Linked DNA regions of Stegostoma tigrinum. The protein of the gene in region 1 interacts with the protein of each later gene in a biochemical or structural test. Links are inferred from orthologs where the notes say so. Each region holds a gene or a part of one and is shown on either strand. Other genes may lie near its edges.

Region 1 (7,135 bases):
CAAAACTCCAGTCTGGGAGGAAAGAACATCAAAGACAATTTTGAAAGACCTCCCAGCTTTTGGATGTAGCAAAGAGGTGTGGTGGCTTTTAACAAACCCAGCAGCTTCTGCTGAAAGCTAAACTAGAGATCCTGGTTCTGTGGGAGGCCCAAGGCCTTGTGCTGTTGACACATGGTTTTGGTGGACTGCTCAGAACTCTGTCTTAAAACCTCTTCCAAAAAAAAACCAGGACAAAATAACCCCTTAAATTCACACCATTATCGCATGCAGTATTTGTGGAGAGACAAGACGGTTAATGCTTTTGGGTCCAATATGACCTCAGTTCTGAAGAGTCAGTAGACTTGGAACGTTAACACTGTTTCTCTAGCCACAGATGCTGCCAGACCCGCTGAGTTTTCCAGCATTTTCTGTTTTTATCACTTGCACCTTGCAGTCTCCCTGTGTTTTTTTTTTAAATTTAAAACTTCCACAGTCAATTGGAAAGACAAGGTATTCAGCAAGCAGTTCACAGCTTTTCCCGTAGGTCAGCAAAACAAAATGACAATTCACTCCCAAGCATATCTTAGCAAGACACATGCTTCATTGATATGACTGAAATGTTTCACAAGCTGAATGGCTGAATAGTGATGGATTTTGTTTTGAAACCAAACTCATTGAGACCTAGCTTCTAATTCTTTTTAGCAAATTGAAAATTCTTCCCTTCTGACATTACTAATCATGTGCAAATATATTGAGAAATGTAATTTATGGAAGGGAAAGGCAGTAAGTTCTCATTTTCTTTGCATTTGAATGGTGGTCAGTGATGTTAACTAAACAGTTATGATGCCAACATGGCTAATTTGGGGAATTTATCCAAGAAACTTGGGACAACTTATTGGAAGCATGAATGCAATATTTAGGAGGAACTGCATGTAATTTACCATCTTTGCAACTGATTGAAATGAAGCAATCACTTCCAAGTGATTCTAGTTTGCTCAGTGAATGTGTGCTCTTTCTGCCACCTAGAGGAGGTGTTTTAAGCCATGTATTTTAGACCATCTCATGGCCAAACAGTATCTCCTGCTCTCAGTAAGTCTCTAACTTCCGCTTGTCTTATGACCTGCACCTTTTGACTTTAGCTTTTCCACTTTTAGCCTGCTGTGTTTCAATATCTCCAATAGAATGCCCTCTTGTGATTTGTTTTGCAATTTCTTCCTTTAAACATGAGAAGGTGTGTTTATATGCTCCTTTTTCTGGTGTTAGCCAGTTGCTGGTCTTTCACTTGATTGCCAACTCTATTTGAATGTTATTCATGGAGGTTACTTTATATGTATATGTCTGCATCTGCTCTAGCCAGCCTATACCTCCCACTTATCAATATGTTTATAACAAATGTTTCATAGTACTCACCAGACCAATAGGAAAAGAAAACTTATTTAAAGAGGAGTATAAATTTCAGCCAGAAAATGACTGAGTTACAGGTGCAGGGATATGGGGAAGAAGCAGAGGCTTAGCAATAAATTGTACAGCACATACAGGCAAAATGGGGCAATGGCCTCCTGTGCTGTATAGAGTCAGAGAATGTACAGCATGGAGATGGACAAGTTGGACTCAACAGTCTATGCCAACAAGGTCTCTTAAATTTAGTCTCATTTGTCCCATATCCCTCTGAACCCTTTTCTATTCATGTAGTTCATCTAGCCATCAAGATTCCTTGTAAATGTTGTCATTGTACCAGCCTCAATCCCTTCTTCTGGCAGCTTATTCCACATGTGACACCCTCTGCATGGAATATCCCTTTTAAATCTCTTCCCCCCTGCACCCCCCCCCCCCCCCTAACCTGTGTCCTCAAGTTTTGGAATCTGCTACCCTGGCTAGTAACCCTATGACTTTATAAACCTAAGGTCAGCACTCAACCTCAGTCACTCTGGGGTAGAAAAAGCCCCCAGCTTATTCAGCCTCCCTGCAGTTACAACCCTGGCAACAGCCTTGTAGATCTTTTCTGAACCCTTTCAAGTTTCACAACATCTGTCCTATAGGATGGAGACCAGAACTCAAGTCATAGATGTGCAGCACAGAAATGGACCCTCATCCATGCTAACCAGATATTCTAAATTAATCTTGTCCCATTTGCCACTATCATGATTTTGTGATAATATTCAAACTGTTTTGTTAATATTGTTTATTCTTGCCATGTGCCTTGTACTCATTTGGGGTTTTTGATTAAACAAAACACAGCTTTTTTTTTAGAATCCCTACTTTATGGAAACAGGCCCTTCAACTCCAGTCCACAGTGACTTTCTGAAGACCATTCCCCCCCCCCCATGACTCCTATGTTTGTCTGTTCTGTCCATGCGCGCCACCCCCCCCCCCCCCCCCCCCCCCCAAACCCGCTCTGCATTTCTCAGGACTGATCTATTTCATCTACACACCCCCAAACACTGAGGCAATTTAGCATGGTAAATCCATTTACCACATATCTTTGGACTGTGGGAGGAACTGGAGTACCCACAGGAAACCCACACAGACACAGGGAGAACGTCACCTGAGGCCAGAACCAAACCTAGGTCCCTGGTGCTGTGGGGCAACAGAACTGGCTACTGTGCTGCCCCTGATGACCAAGCTTCAAGACTTGAAAGAGATGAACCTACTCATGTGCCAAAACTAGATTTTTGAAAAACTTTTCACTGAGTTACTCATGAAAAGCTTTTGTCCAAACTTATTACTATGGAATTAGGGTGACGTGATTAATATGAACCTGCTGACAGAAGGCACCACTGTACGATGGGGAATCATCCTGTCCAAGTGGGCAGGGTAACATGATGGTACCTTTACTTTTCTTAGGATGTGTAAATAACCTTCTCAACAAGGTTAAAAGAAACCACAAGATTTTGCAGTTGACTGTATAGTTCATGCATCAAGGGGAAAAACTCAAGATTGTATCAATTCCTTGAAAGATGATTTGTTGGAATTGCAAAACTGGCAGGACTAATGGGAGAAAGTATTCTGTTCTGACACATTGCTTTATTGTATGTGTTTGTGAAATGAAAGGATCCATCAACAGGTATAAGTTCTGTAATCAAATTCTGCAATGAGTAGATGCGCAAACATATATGAAGGTTCATCTTAAAATCATTCTTCAACTATGGTTCTACATTTAGCATACGCTATCCTAAGCAAACAGGAGTTTTGGATTTCTGAGGACAAATCTTTGTTGTATTGTTAGAATCAGGACATTATACCTTACCCAATAATCCTGCAGTATGGCCAAAAGGTGTGGGATTCTTGTATAACGAGATTCAAGTGAGTGTAATGTAATTCAAAGATATGCTTTGCAAATTAAAGGAAATACACTAGTTTTACCAGTGGATCAAAAATTTTGAATGGTGGTCACTAGCGCAGAGGAGGAAGGAGTAGACTAACCATGATCTACAAAATATGGAATAGATACAGAGAATTGGCAGAACTAAGTAGGTGGTATTGAATAAGACATAAAGATAACAAGGTGTGGAGCTGGATGAACACAGCAGGCCCAGCAGCTTCTTAGGAGCACTTGAAAAATTAACTGTTTATCACTCCACATAGCTAACTCCTCACCCTTGTGTTATTTCGGATTTCCAGTATTCTTGAAGTATTTAACTTTTATTTAAGTATCTCGTGCCATCTGGCAATAACATGTTACAAAGCACAAACTGTCTTCCCGAGGGCACAATGAAAGCGGCCAAAGCAAATGGTCATAGCCCCCAAATTTAGGAGCTAAATAACACATTTTTCAAGACCCAAATTTGGATTATTTCCGTTCAAAGATTTTCACAGCCTGGATGACCAAATCAGCAGGTTGCGCCTAGCTTAGCCAGAGCTATGTACATAAATATTGGTGGATACTGGTCTGTGAACCACTCAAGATGAAGCAGAGGCTAACCCATTCACTCCCACGAATCAGACAAGTGAACCTTCTCGTCAACTTTTTCTGAAGCATTTACATTCTTTCCTATGTACACAGTACTCCAGATGTGGTGTCTCGGCTACAACATGTTGCCTCCTTAGCTACTTCCGGGGGGTTTGTTCTCAGTCACATGATCCCATTACGTTCCCAGTCTCCCGCCCTGATCGTCAGGACCCCTAAACCTTTTGCGTCCACAAATGTGCCTGAGGGCCTTTCAGTACTTGCTGAAATCACTCCGAGCGGGAAACGAGAATGTTTGTTTTGAAACATAAAGATTAAATTCATAAACAGCGATCAGTGTTTGGGGAAGCGTAGAGATGTGTTGGACCCGCGGCTCTTGATGGTGAGGCGGACAGGCGGCAGTTCTGGTTTCCCGGGTAACCGAGGTCGGCAGCTGGAGCCGGTCACCGGGGCCGCAGGAGGCGGAGGGAGGGAGGGCCCGGGAGAGGCGAGAAATTTTCCGGGAGAGGCCGGGGCCCCGCTTTGATGCCTCTTTTCCTGGAGCATCCGCCCTGGGAGTCCAGCAGCCGCTGTAGGTGGGTTCGAGTGAGCGGGGGCTGAGGGAACCCTGTTCTCATTCCCCGACATCCCCCCGCCATCTTAACTGCCACCAACTCTCCCAACATTTATCAGCTTTATGTTTTGCAATGAGACTGGGTAAGACTGAATAACTGATGCAATGTATCTGGGATAATGGGAACTGCAGATCCTGGAGAATCCAAGAAACAAAGTGTGGAGCTGCTGTGTTCATCCAGCTCCACGCTTTGTATCTTGCAATGTGCCAGGATCTTTTTGGAAGACCTGAGGTACTTTCTACCTTTACTGTGTTGACTCCTTGTGACTGAAGGAATTATTTTCCCAGTACTGTGAAGTCAGAAACAATGTGATATGCCATTACTGTAACAAATGACTGTCTTGTTTTGATCTGTGAACTAAATGTATAGTCTCCTATTTAGATCTTTCAGTCATATCAGCTTAATGAATAAGTGATAAAATATTCTACATTCTTTTTCAATCGTTGCAGCTTTATTGTCAAATGTATTTCTATGTGCATGTGTAAATTCAGTTATTTGGGGGGGCAGCACCATCCAGAGTGGCAGATCACTTTTGTAAAAAAAATCGTAAACCTAGAAGTAATCCAGCTTTGATGTGTAATATAAAGTTGAAAACAGATTCTGGTATGTGACTATCTGATGGTCACTCTACTTGTGTTTACGCATCAGTTAAACAGACTGCATCTACATAAAAGTGCTCTTGATGTCATTTGACTTTGTCACATTTGTAACCATTTCTGGAATTGACACTAAAGAGGCTTATTGTATACAGTTATTGTGCTAAATTTCCTTGAGTAACGGAAACTGACTGCATTCACTAATTGGTTTCAAGAATTGCTGACAGTAAAAATGTTTGCAGCTCATATTTCACGGTGAATGTCATATGGTTGGATATGTAACAATATGCTGTGAAATGTTTCCGACAGCTCCGGCACTACTGCTGAAATAACTGTGGGAGGTTGGGTATTCAGAGTTTTCAAAGGCTTCAAATGCATGGTATTTAAGCAAGATAGCAAGTAGTATTCAGAAAGTGCTTTATGCGTGAGTATATTTTTGTATTTGCTCTTATACAGGTTGTTTATTAAGCAGTTTTGATGTCTCTGACTATAAAGCTAATTGGTAATGTAGCTGTAGACTGAACACATGCCATTTCATTGAAGGATAAATAGAAATTTTGTGTACAAATCATCATTGTTGTGGCTGCACAGGACATTGGTTAGCTGCTTTTGGAATACTGTGTTCAGTTCTGGTCTCCCTGCAATAGGAAAGAGGTTCTGAAACTTGAAAGGGTTCAGTAAAGATTTACAAGATGTTACCAGGGTTGGTGGGTCTGAGCTATAGGGAGAGGCTGAATAGGCTGGGGCTATTTTCCCTGGAGCCTTGGATACTGAGGGATGACCTTATAGAAGTTTATAAAATCATGAGGATCATAGATAGGGTGAATACCCAAGGTCTTTTCCCCAGGATAGCAGAGTCCAAAACTAGAGGACATAGCTTTAAGGTGAGAGTGGAAAAATTTAAAAGGCACCAATGGGGCAACTTTTTCAAAATAAAACCGAAAGAACTGCGGATACTGTAAATCAGGAACAAAAACAAAGTTGCTGGAAAAGCTCAGCAGGTCTGGCAGCATCTGTGGAGGAGAAAACAGACTTTGTTTTCTCCTGGTGTTGTGTTAGTTACTTGAAGAGAAATTTAGCGATTCTGCAGACATTGATCTTTTAACAGAATTTGCTTAACATGGAACCAGAGGAAAATGTTGAATTATCTTGGCTTGCAAGCAGGACATAATGCCGAAGTTTATTTAATGCAAATTTTAATGCTTATATTTCCACAGTGTTCAGTGATATTCAAAGGTCAGATTTACTCTTAATTTGAAAGAGACAAAGGAAAACTTTCATTTATATAGAGTCTTTAATGACTTTAGAAGTATTAAAGTGGTTTGCAACCATTTAAATACTTTTGAATTATAGTCACTGTGGTAGTTTCCAAACAACTTTTTTGTCCTGATATTGAGAGACTTTAAATACCTTTTGACATTTCTTTTCTCCAGGTTTAGATTGTGAAAATGCCGAGCTCTGCAAAGCCTGAACCTTTTCTAGTGAAATTTATAAAAATGAAAGGGAACGATTCTGAATATTTCACAAAAGCGTATAAGGTTGGTTTATAAAATACCATTTAATGTTTAAACCTTTCTGACTTTTAACTTTATTCATTTCATACAACTTTTTTCTGATTTGCAGGCCATTAAAGAATTTAAATCTGAGGACTTCCTGCAGATTGTACATGAAGATGAAGTATTTAACTTGAAAGTAAAAGACAGCTCACTTTATATATGTGACCCATTTGAGGGAGATGCTTACAATCACCTGAAAAAGGTATGTAGTTTATTTTTTGCTCTTGTAGAATGTTTTTTTGATTTTGTTATATACTGCTTTTTGTCAAGTGTGGCCTGAACCCAAATAGAAAGCCCACTGCCACATCTGTCTGAACCAATGGTGGTACCACAAGACAGCAAAATTTAGCCCTCAAGCAGAGAACAATTGTGACCTGTACACCAGCTGCTAGAATTTATAATATGCAGCCATAAGATCTCGTGTTCAGTAGGTGAAGGGCTGTATAATTTAATGGATCACATTCAGATTACTAACTACCAGAC
Region 2 (7,293 bases), on another chromosome or scaffold:
TGACCCATTAAGTCTGTGCCAGCTCAAACAACCACCTTTAAACTCTCTCATCCTTTATCCCAGCTCACGCCCGTAGTGTTGTCATCACAAGTGCACATCGAAATAGATTAGATGCCCTACTGTGTGGGTATAGGCCCTGCGGTCCAACAAGCCCACACTGCCCCTTGAAGCATCCCACCCAGCCCCATCCCCCTACAACCCACACACCCCTGAACACTCGGGGCAATTTGGCATGGCCGATCCACACAGCCTGCCCATCTTTGGACTGTGGGAAGAAATCGGAGCACCCGGAGGAAACCCACGCACACAGGGAGAATACGCAAACTCCACACAGACAGTTGCCCAAGGCTGGAATCGAACTCGGGTCCCTGGTGCTGTGAGGCTGCTGTGCTCACCACTGAGCCACCGTGCCACCCAGCTCTTCAACGTCCTGAGGATTTCTGCCCCTCCCACTCTTACAAGCAGTGAGTTCCCGATTCCCACCACATAACCCATTCGTTTATCTACCCAAACCGTTTGAGCTCCATCTCCAGCTCACATTTACTGCTCCCCAACTTCAGTAAACGAGCCAACTTTTTCCAAGCTGTTGTCAGTACTGAACCTGAAACCTCAACCCTGTCTCTCCCCCAAAGATGCTACCAGACCTGCAGACTTTCTGCAGCTGCTTCTACTTTTGTTTCAGGCTTACGCATCCATGATTCATTGTTTTATTTTGGTCAATATTTTAGACATTGTCAACATCTCCTCTCTGATCTTAAACTCTGCACCTTGGCTGATTAAAGGCATGTATCCTTTTTGCTTCTGAACCACTTTATCTAACTGTTCTGCCCCCATAAAGGACCAGAGTAAATTGTCGTCCCTCTGATCCTCAATTAATTGTGTATTCCCTAGCCTCATTTGTTCTACCCGAGTGCACCCCCTCAGGCATATCCAGAATGAATTGCATTTTCCACTGACCAGCCCATTGGACCGACCCGTCTATGTCCCCCCCGACATCTCAGGATAACCTCCTCACTCCTCACTATCCCATCCATTTTTTGTATCAACCTCCTACATTCAAGCGTAAATCATTTATATTTAACATTCAGCCCCTTCCCCAGCCTGTTACACAGGGGGACAGCAGGAGGCCATTCAGCCCCTTCCCCAGCCAGATACACAGGGGGGACAGCAGGAGGCCATTCAGCCCCTTCCCCAACCTGTTACACAGCGGAACAGCAGGAGGCCATTCAGCCCCTTCCCTGGCCTGTTACACAGGGGGACAGCAGGAGGCCATTCAGCCCCTTCCCCAGCCTGTTACACAGGGGGACAGCAGGAGGCCATTCAGCCCCTTCCACGGCCTGTTACACAGGGGGACAGCAGGAGGCCATCAGCCCCTTCCCCAGCCTGTTACACAGGGGGACAGCAGGAGGCCATGTAGCTGGTTCACAGCCAGTCTGTATCATAACACTCAACACACAGCTCAAGTCCATAACCGCTCGTCCACAACCGTCCCATAGCCCATGTCAGCAGTGACTCCATCCCAGCGCTCCAATTTACAATTGATTCTGTTGTCCTGTCCACTTCTCACAGTCCAGCCCCGACAGCTCCGAGGGGACGGACAAAGCTCTAGAAACCCATATGCCTTTTCCCCATCACTTGACTTCACCCAGATCTCTGACCCAGCCCCAGTTGCCCCATGGTGGCACCCCACAAAGAAAAGCCCTTGATGCAGACCTTTCCCCATCCCGAGGTTCCTCGCTGCATGAGGAGTTCGTGAGTTGTGTGTGATCTCCTGGTCCTTGATATGTAACAGTGTGCCAACATTCACACCACAAACACTTCCATCCAGAAGGACAAGGGGCAGCAGGTACATGGGACCCCCACCCCCTGCAAGTTCCCCTCAGAGCCACCCCTCATCCTGACTCGGAAATATACCCCCGTTCCTTCAGTGTCGCTGGGTCAGAATCCCTGGAATTCCCTCCCTAAGGAACACCCACGGACTGCAGCGGTTCAAGGCAGCTCACCCCCACCTTCTCAAGGGGGGCAACTAGGGACGGAGCAATAAATGCTGGGCCCAGACAGAGATGCCCATGCTCCTGAGTGACTACAAGCGAGAGTGTGGTAACCAATTGCTCAGGGATTGGATTCACACGGAGACAGGGAAAGCTGCATTATCTTCTGCTCCCATCTACTGGACAAAGCCCAGCACAGCATCTGGAAGTGGGCCCTTTCTCTTCAGAGCAGGTCAGAATGAGCAAAACCTGTTACCTCGGTCACTCCATCCCTCTGTCAAAGTAAACCTGACGGGGTGTGTTAATAGTGTAATGATGGAATCTATCAATGAGACAGCTTAAAAGGCAGGCACTGCCCAGAGCTAGGATGTCAGGCTGGTGCAATGCCAGTCACCATTTGAAACTGTAATGACACCAGCAGTTTTCAATCAAGATCAGAATCCCTGAACATGAGGTTCAGTATTCCACAAACATTTCACTTCGACACTCAGACTGGGCAAGTTACAGATTTGAGACAGAAACAGCAGGAGGATTAATACACCTCTAGTTATCACACTCTCTCAGGGAGATATCTGTACACTGACTTGTGTCTCTCAGTCCCCTCTCTCTCTCTCTCTCTTAGGGAGATATCTGTACACTGACTGGTGTCTCTCACTCCCCCCTCTCTCAGGGAGATATCTGTACACTGACTGGTGTCTCTCAGTCTCCCCTCTCTCAGGGAGATATCTGTACACTGACTGGTGTCTCTCAGTCCCCCCTCTCTCTCTCTCTCAGGGAGATATCTGTACACTGACTGGTGTCTCTCAGTAACCCCCTCTCTCTCTCAGGGAGATGTCTGTACACTGACTGGTGTCTCTCAGTAACCCCCTCTCTCTCTCAGGGAGATATCTGTACACTGACTGGTGTCTCTCAGTAACCCCCTCTCTCTCTCAGGGAGATGTCTGTACACTGACTGGTGTCTCTCAGTCCCCTCTCTCTCTCTCAGGGAGATATCTGTACACCGACTGGTGTCTCTCAGTCCCCTCTCTCTCTCTCAGGGAGATATCTGCACATTGAACGGCGTCTCTCAGTTCCCCCCGCTCTCTCTCTCTCTCTCTCTCTGTCTCTCAGGGAAATATCTGCACACTGACGAATGTCCCTTCTCTCTATGAAGACTAACCAACAGATACAGAGACAGGAACTGTGCACAGTGCTCCCAGTGTGGGTCAAACTGAGGGATATAGAGACTGGAACTGTGCACAGTGCTCCCAGTGTGGGTCTGACTGAGAGATATAGAGACTGGAACTGTGCACCGTGCTCCCAGTGTGGGACTAACTGAGGGACATAGAGACCGGAACTGTGCGCGGTGCTCCCAGTGTGGGTCTGACTGAGGGATATAGAGACTGGAACTGTGCACGGTGTGGTGTATTTGAGGAAACTAGAGAATCTATCGCTGTGCAGACTCTGACGGAAAATGCAATTTTGGGGGGAAATGATGGGAAATCCTGTTATGTCCATCGACACAGAGTGATGTGCCGGTGGAATTTACTCCGGAACATTAGATGTTTCAAGAAGGTGTTTGATGTATCTCTTGTGTCTCATGGTTTTGAGGGAAATGGGGGGTGGTAAACGTGAGCAGTCATGGAGCTTACTTCTCAGGCATGATCATATTGACTGGTGGAGGAGGTGTGATACACTGAGTGGCCTGTCTGTGTTGGTTCCTGCTATGTTTCAATGAAAGGTGGAAGCTAGGAAATGTTGTATCAGAGACAGTGGGAACTGCCGATGCTGGAGAATCTGAGATAACACGGTGTGGAACTGGTGGAACACAACAGGCCCAGCAGCATCAGAGGGGCAGGAAGGCTGACGTTTCGGGCCAAGACCTGAGATGTCAGCATTTGGGCTCCTGACATGCTGCTTGGGCCTGTGTTCCTCCAGCTCCACCCCTCGTTACCTAGAAAATGTTCTCCTGATGGACCCTATTACTTGCCTGGCCTATGGTGCAGAGTCAGTAAACTTGAAAGTATTGTATTTGTAGTTTTACTCAGCATTAAGGTGCTTTATCATGGTAGGAACTCGACGGGCCGAATGGCCAAATGATGAAACACAATTGCAGAGTGGTTCCCCCTTTTATGGAATTTTGGTCGACACCTTTTAAATCAAATCTTAGGGTGTGTCGGCTTTAAGAGCCTGCGGGGCGGGCGGGGCCTTTTAAATAGTGGCACATCCGGGTACTGGGCCTGCGGGGCGGATTTAGGTCCGGCCAATGGCAGGGCGTTTTGTTTGAGGATGAATTGTGGTGGGCTCAGCCAATAGGAGAGCGGTATATGGGAGAGGAAGCGTTCGGGTCGAGGATGCGGTTCGTGGTGACAGGCGGCAACGTGAGCGGTATGGCGGGGGGAGGGGAGACATAATCTTAACCCTTAGCCCCTCACCCCTCACCCTCTCACTGCCTCACGCTGACTCCTCCCACTGACCCCTCGCCCCCTCACCCTCTCACTGACTCCTCCCACTGACCCCTCACTGCCTTACCCTGACTCCTCCCACTGACCCCTCACTGCCTTACCCTGACTCGTCCCACTGACCTCACGCCCTTACCCTGACCCCTCCCACTGACCCCTGACCCCTCACTCCCTTACCCTGACTCGTCCCACTGACCTCACGCCCTTACCCTGACCCCTCCCACTGACCCCTGACCCCTCACTCCCTTACCCTGACACCTCCCACTGACCTCACGCCCTTACCCTGACCCCTCCCACTGACCCCTGACCCCTCACTCCCTTACCCTGACTCCTCCCACTGACCCTCACCCTGTCTGTCCCCTTTCCCTGAACCTAAGCCCCTCCCCCTCACTCCTCCTGACCCCTCAGTCCCCCTCCGCCCCGACCCCTCAGTCCCCCTCCGCCCTGACCCCTCAGTCCCCCTCCGCCCTGACCCCCCTGTCCCCCTCAGCCCCCCTCCGCCCCGACCCCTCAGCCCCCCTCCGCCCCGACCCCTCAGCCCCCCTCCGCCCCGACCCCTCAGCCCCCCTCCGCCCCGACCCCTCAGTCCCCCTCCGCCCCGACCCCTCAGTCCCCCTCCGCCCCGACCCCTCAGTCCCCCTCCGCCCTGACCCCTCAGTCCCCCTCAATCCCCCTCCGCCCTGACCCCTCAGTCCCTCTCAGCCCCCCTCCGCCCTGACCCCCCTGTCCCCCTCAGTCCCCCTCCGCCCCGACCCCTCAGTCCCCCTCCGCCCCGACCCCTCAGTCCCCCTCCGCCCCGACCCCTCAGTCCCCCTCCGCCCCGACCCCTCAGTCCCCCTCCGCCCCGACCCCTCAGTCCCCCTCCGCCCCGACCCCTCAGTCCCCCTCCGCCCCGACCCCTCAGTCCCCCTCAGTCCCCCTCCGCCCTGACCCCCCTGTCCCCCTCAGTCCCCCTCCGCCCCGACCCCTCAGTCCCCCTCCGCCCCGACCCCTCAGTCCCCCTCCGCCCCGACCCCTCAAGGTTTACACTGTTGCCTCATTGTCTACCCGCGAGACTGAAGTGCCAGCAATTGCAGAAATAAAACTCCAGAAGCCCTGCCGAGAGAGGCCACAAGGTCAGGTGTCGGTGACTGGGAACAAACACACAAATCGCTGGAAAAGCTCAGCAGATCTGACCGTGTCTATGTTCTTGTTTCTGAGGAAGAGTCACCGGATACTACAGCTTCACTGACGCTGCTGGACCTGCTGAGCTTTTCCAGCAATTTCTGATTATGTTCCCAGTAACTGACCCTCCGACAGCGCCCGCTCCCTCAGCACTGACCCCCCGACAGTGCCCGCTCCCTCAGCGCTGACGCCCCCGACAGTGCCCGCTCCCTCAGCGCTGACGCCCCCGACAGTGCCCGCTCCCTCAGCGCTGACGCCCCCGACAGTGCCCGCTCCCTCAGCGCTGACCCCTCCGACAGTGCCCGCTCCCTCAGCGCTGACCCCTCCGACAGTGCCCACTCCCTCAGCGCTGACCCCTCCGACAGTGCCCGCTCCCTCAGCACTGACCCTCCGACAGTGCCCGCTCCCTCAGCACGGACCCTCCGACAGTGTGGCGCTCCCTCAGCACTGAATAACATGCGCTGATGACTTACAGTGCTTAATTGGACGTAATGCTCTGTCATTGATAAACTTATTTTGTGAATATTTTCTGGATTTAGTTATTGGGAGAGCAATACACGCACTCTCGCGGATTGGTGAAGACTGTTACCTTGAGGCATTCGATGAAGGAGTGAGTATTATTGCATGGAAAGATGAAAGCAAGAAGTGGAGAGCTGACACACCAGTCAGTGTACAGATATCTCTCTGAGAGAGAGAGAGGGGACTGAGAGACACCAGTCAGTGTACAGATATCTCCCTGAGAGAGAGAGAGGGGACTGAGGGACACCAGTCAGTGTACAGATATCTCCCTGAGAGAGAGAGAGGGGACTGAGAGACACCAGCCAGTGTACAGATATCTCCCTGAGAGAGAGAGAGGGGGAACTGAGAGACACCAGTCAGTGTACAGATATCTCCCTGAGAGAGAGAGAGAGAGGGGGTACTGAGAGACACCAGTCAGTGTACAGATATCTCCCTGAGAGAGAGAGGGGGGACTGAGAGACACCAGTCAGTGTACAGATATCTCCCTGAGAGAGAGAGAGAGGGGACTGAGAGACACCAGTCAGTGTACAGATATCTCCCTGAGAGAGAGAGGGGGGACTGAGAGACACCAGTCATGGTACAGAAATCTCCCTGAGAGAGAGAGGGGGGACTGAGAGACACCAGTCATGGTACAGAAATCTCCCTGAGAGAGAGAGGGGGGACTGAGAGACTCCAGTCAGGTACAGATATCTCCCTGAGAGAGAGAGGGGACTGAGAGACACCAGTCAGTGTACAGATATCTCCCTGAGAGAGAGAGGGGGGACTGAGAGACACCAGTCAGTGTACAGATATCTCCCTGAGAGAGAGGGGGGACTGAGAGACACCAGTCAGTGTACAGATATCTCCCACAGAGAGAGAGAGGGGACTGAGAGACACCATTCAGTGTACAGATACCTCCCTGAGAGAGAGAGGGGGGACTGAGAGACACCAGTCAGTGTACAGATATCTCCCTGAGAGAGAGGGGACTGAGAGACACCAGTCAGTGTACAGATATCTCCCTGAGAGAGAGAGGGGGGGGACTGAGAGACACCAGTCAGTGTACAGATATCTTCCTGAGAGAGAGAGAGAGAGGGGGGAATGAGTGACATCAGTCAGTGTACAGATATCTTCCTGAGAGAGAGAGAGGGACTGAGAGACACCAGTCAGTGTACAGATATCTCCCTGAGAGAGAGAGAGGG

Evidence for each region. The genes of interacting proteins can lie anywhere in the genome.
Region 2: the proteins of topbp1 (region 1) and cell cycle checkpoint control protein RAD9A-like form a complex in vitro, tested with the Homo sapiens proteins (4 studies listed by BioGRID). The link is inferred for Stegostoma tigrinum from reciprocal best matches to the Homo sapiens genes TOPBP1 and RAD9A.

The regions. Positions count from the first base shown.
Region 1 is NC_081355.1:12,951,532-12,958,666, forward strand, and holds the start of topbp1 (DNA topoisomerase 2-binding protein 1), read left to right. Parts: upstream 1-4,122; 5' UTR 4,123-4,268; intron 4,269-4,308; exon of another isoform or gene 4,309-4,461; intron 4,462-4,467; exon of another isoform or gene 4,468-4,582; intron 4,583-6,529; 5' UTR 6,530-6,544; coding exon 6,545-6,634; intron 6,635-6,719; coding exon 6,720-6,854; intron 6,855-7,135. UniProt on the Homo sapiens protein: Scaffold protein that acts as a key protein-protein adapter in DNA replication and DNA repair. Composed of multiple BRCT domains, which specifically recognize and bind phosphorylated proteins, bringing proteins together into functional combinations.
Region 2 is NC_081399.1:1,879,435-1,886,727, forward strand, and holds the start of cell cycle checkpoint control protein RAD9A-like, read left to right. Parts: upstream 1-4,283; 5' UTR 4,284-4,297; coding exon 4,298-4,358; intron 4,359-6,135; coding exon 6,136-6,206; intron 6,207-7,293. UniProt on the Homo sapiens protein: Component of the 9-1-1 cell-cycle checkpoint response complex that plays a major role in DNA repair. The 9-1-1 complex is recruited to DNA lesion upon damage by the RAD17-replication factor C (RFC) clamp loader complex.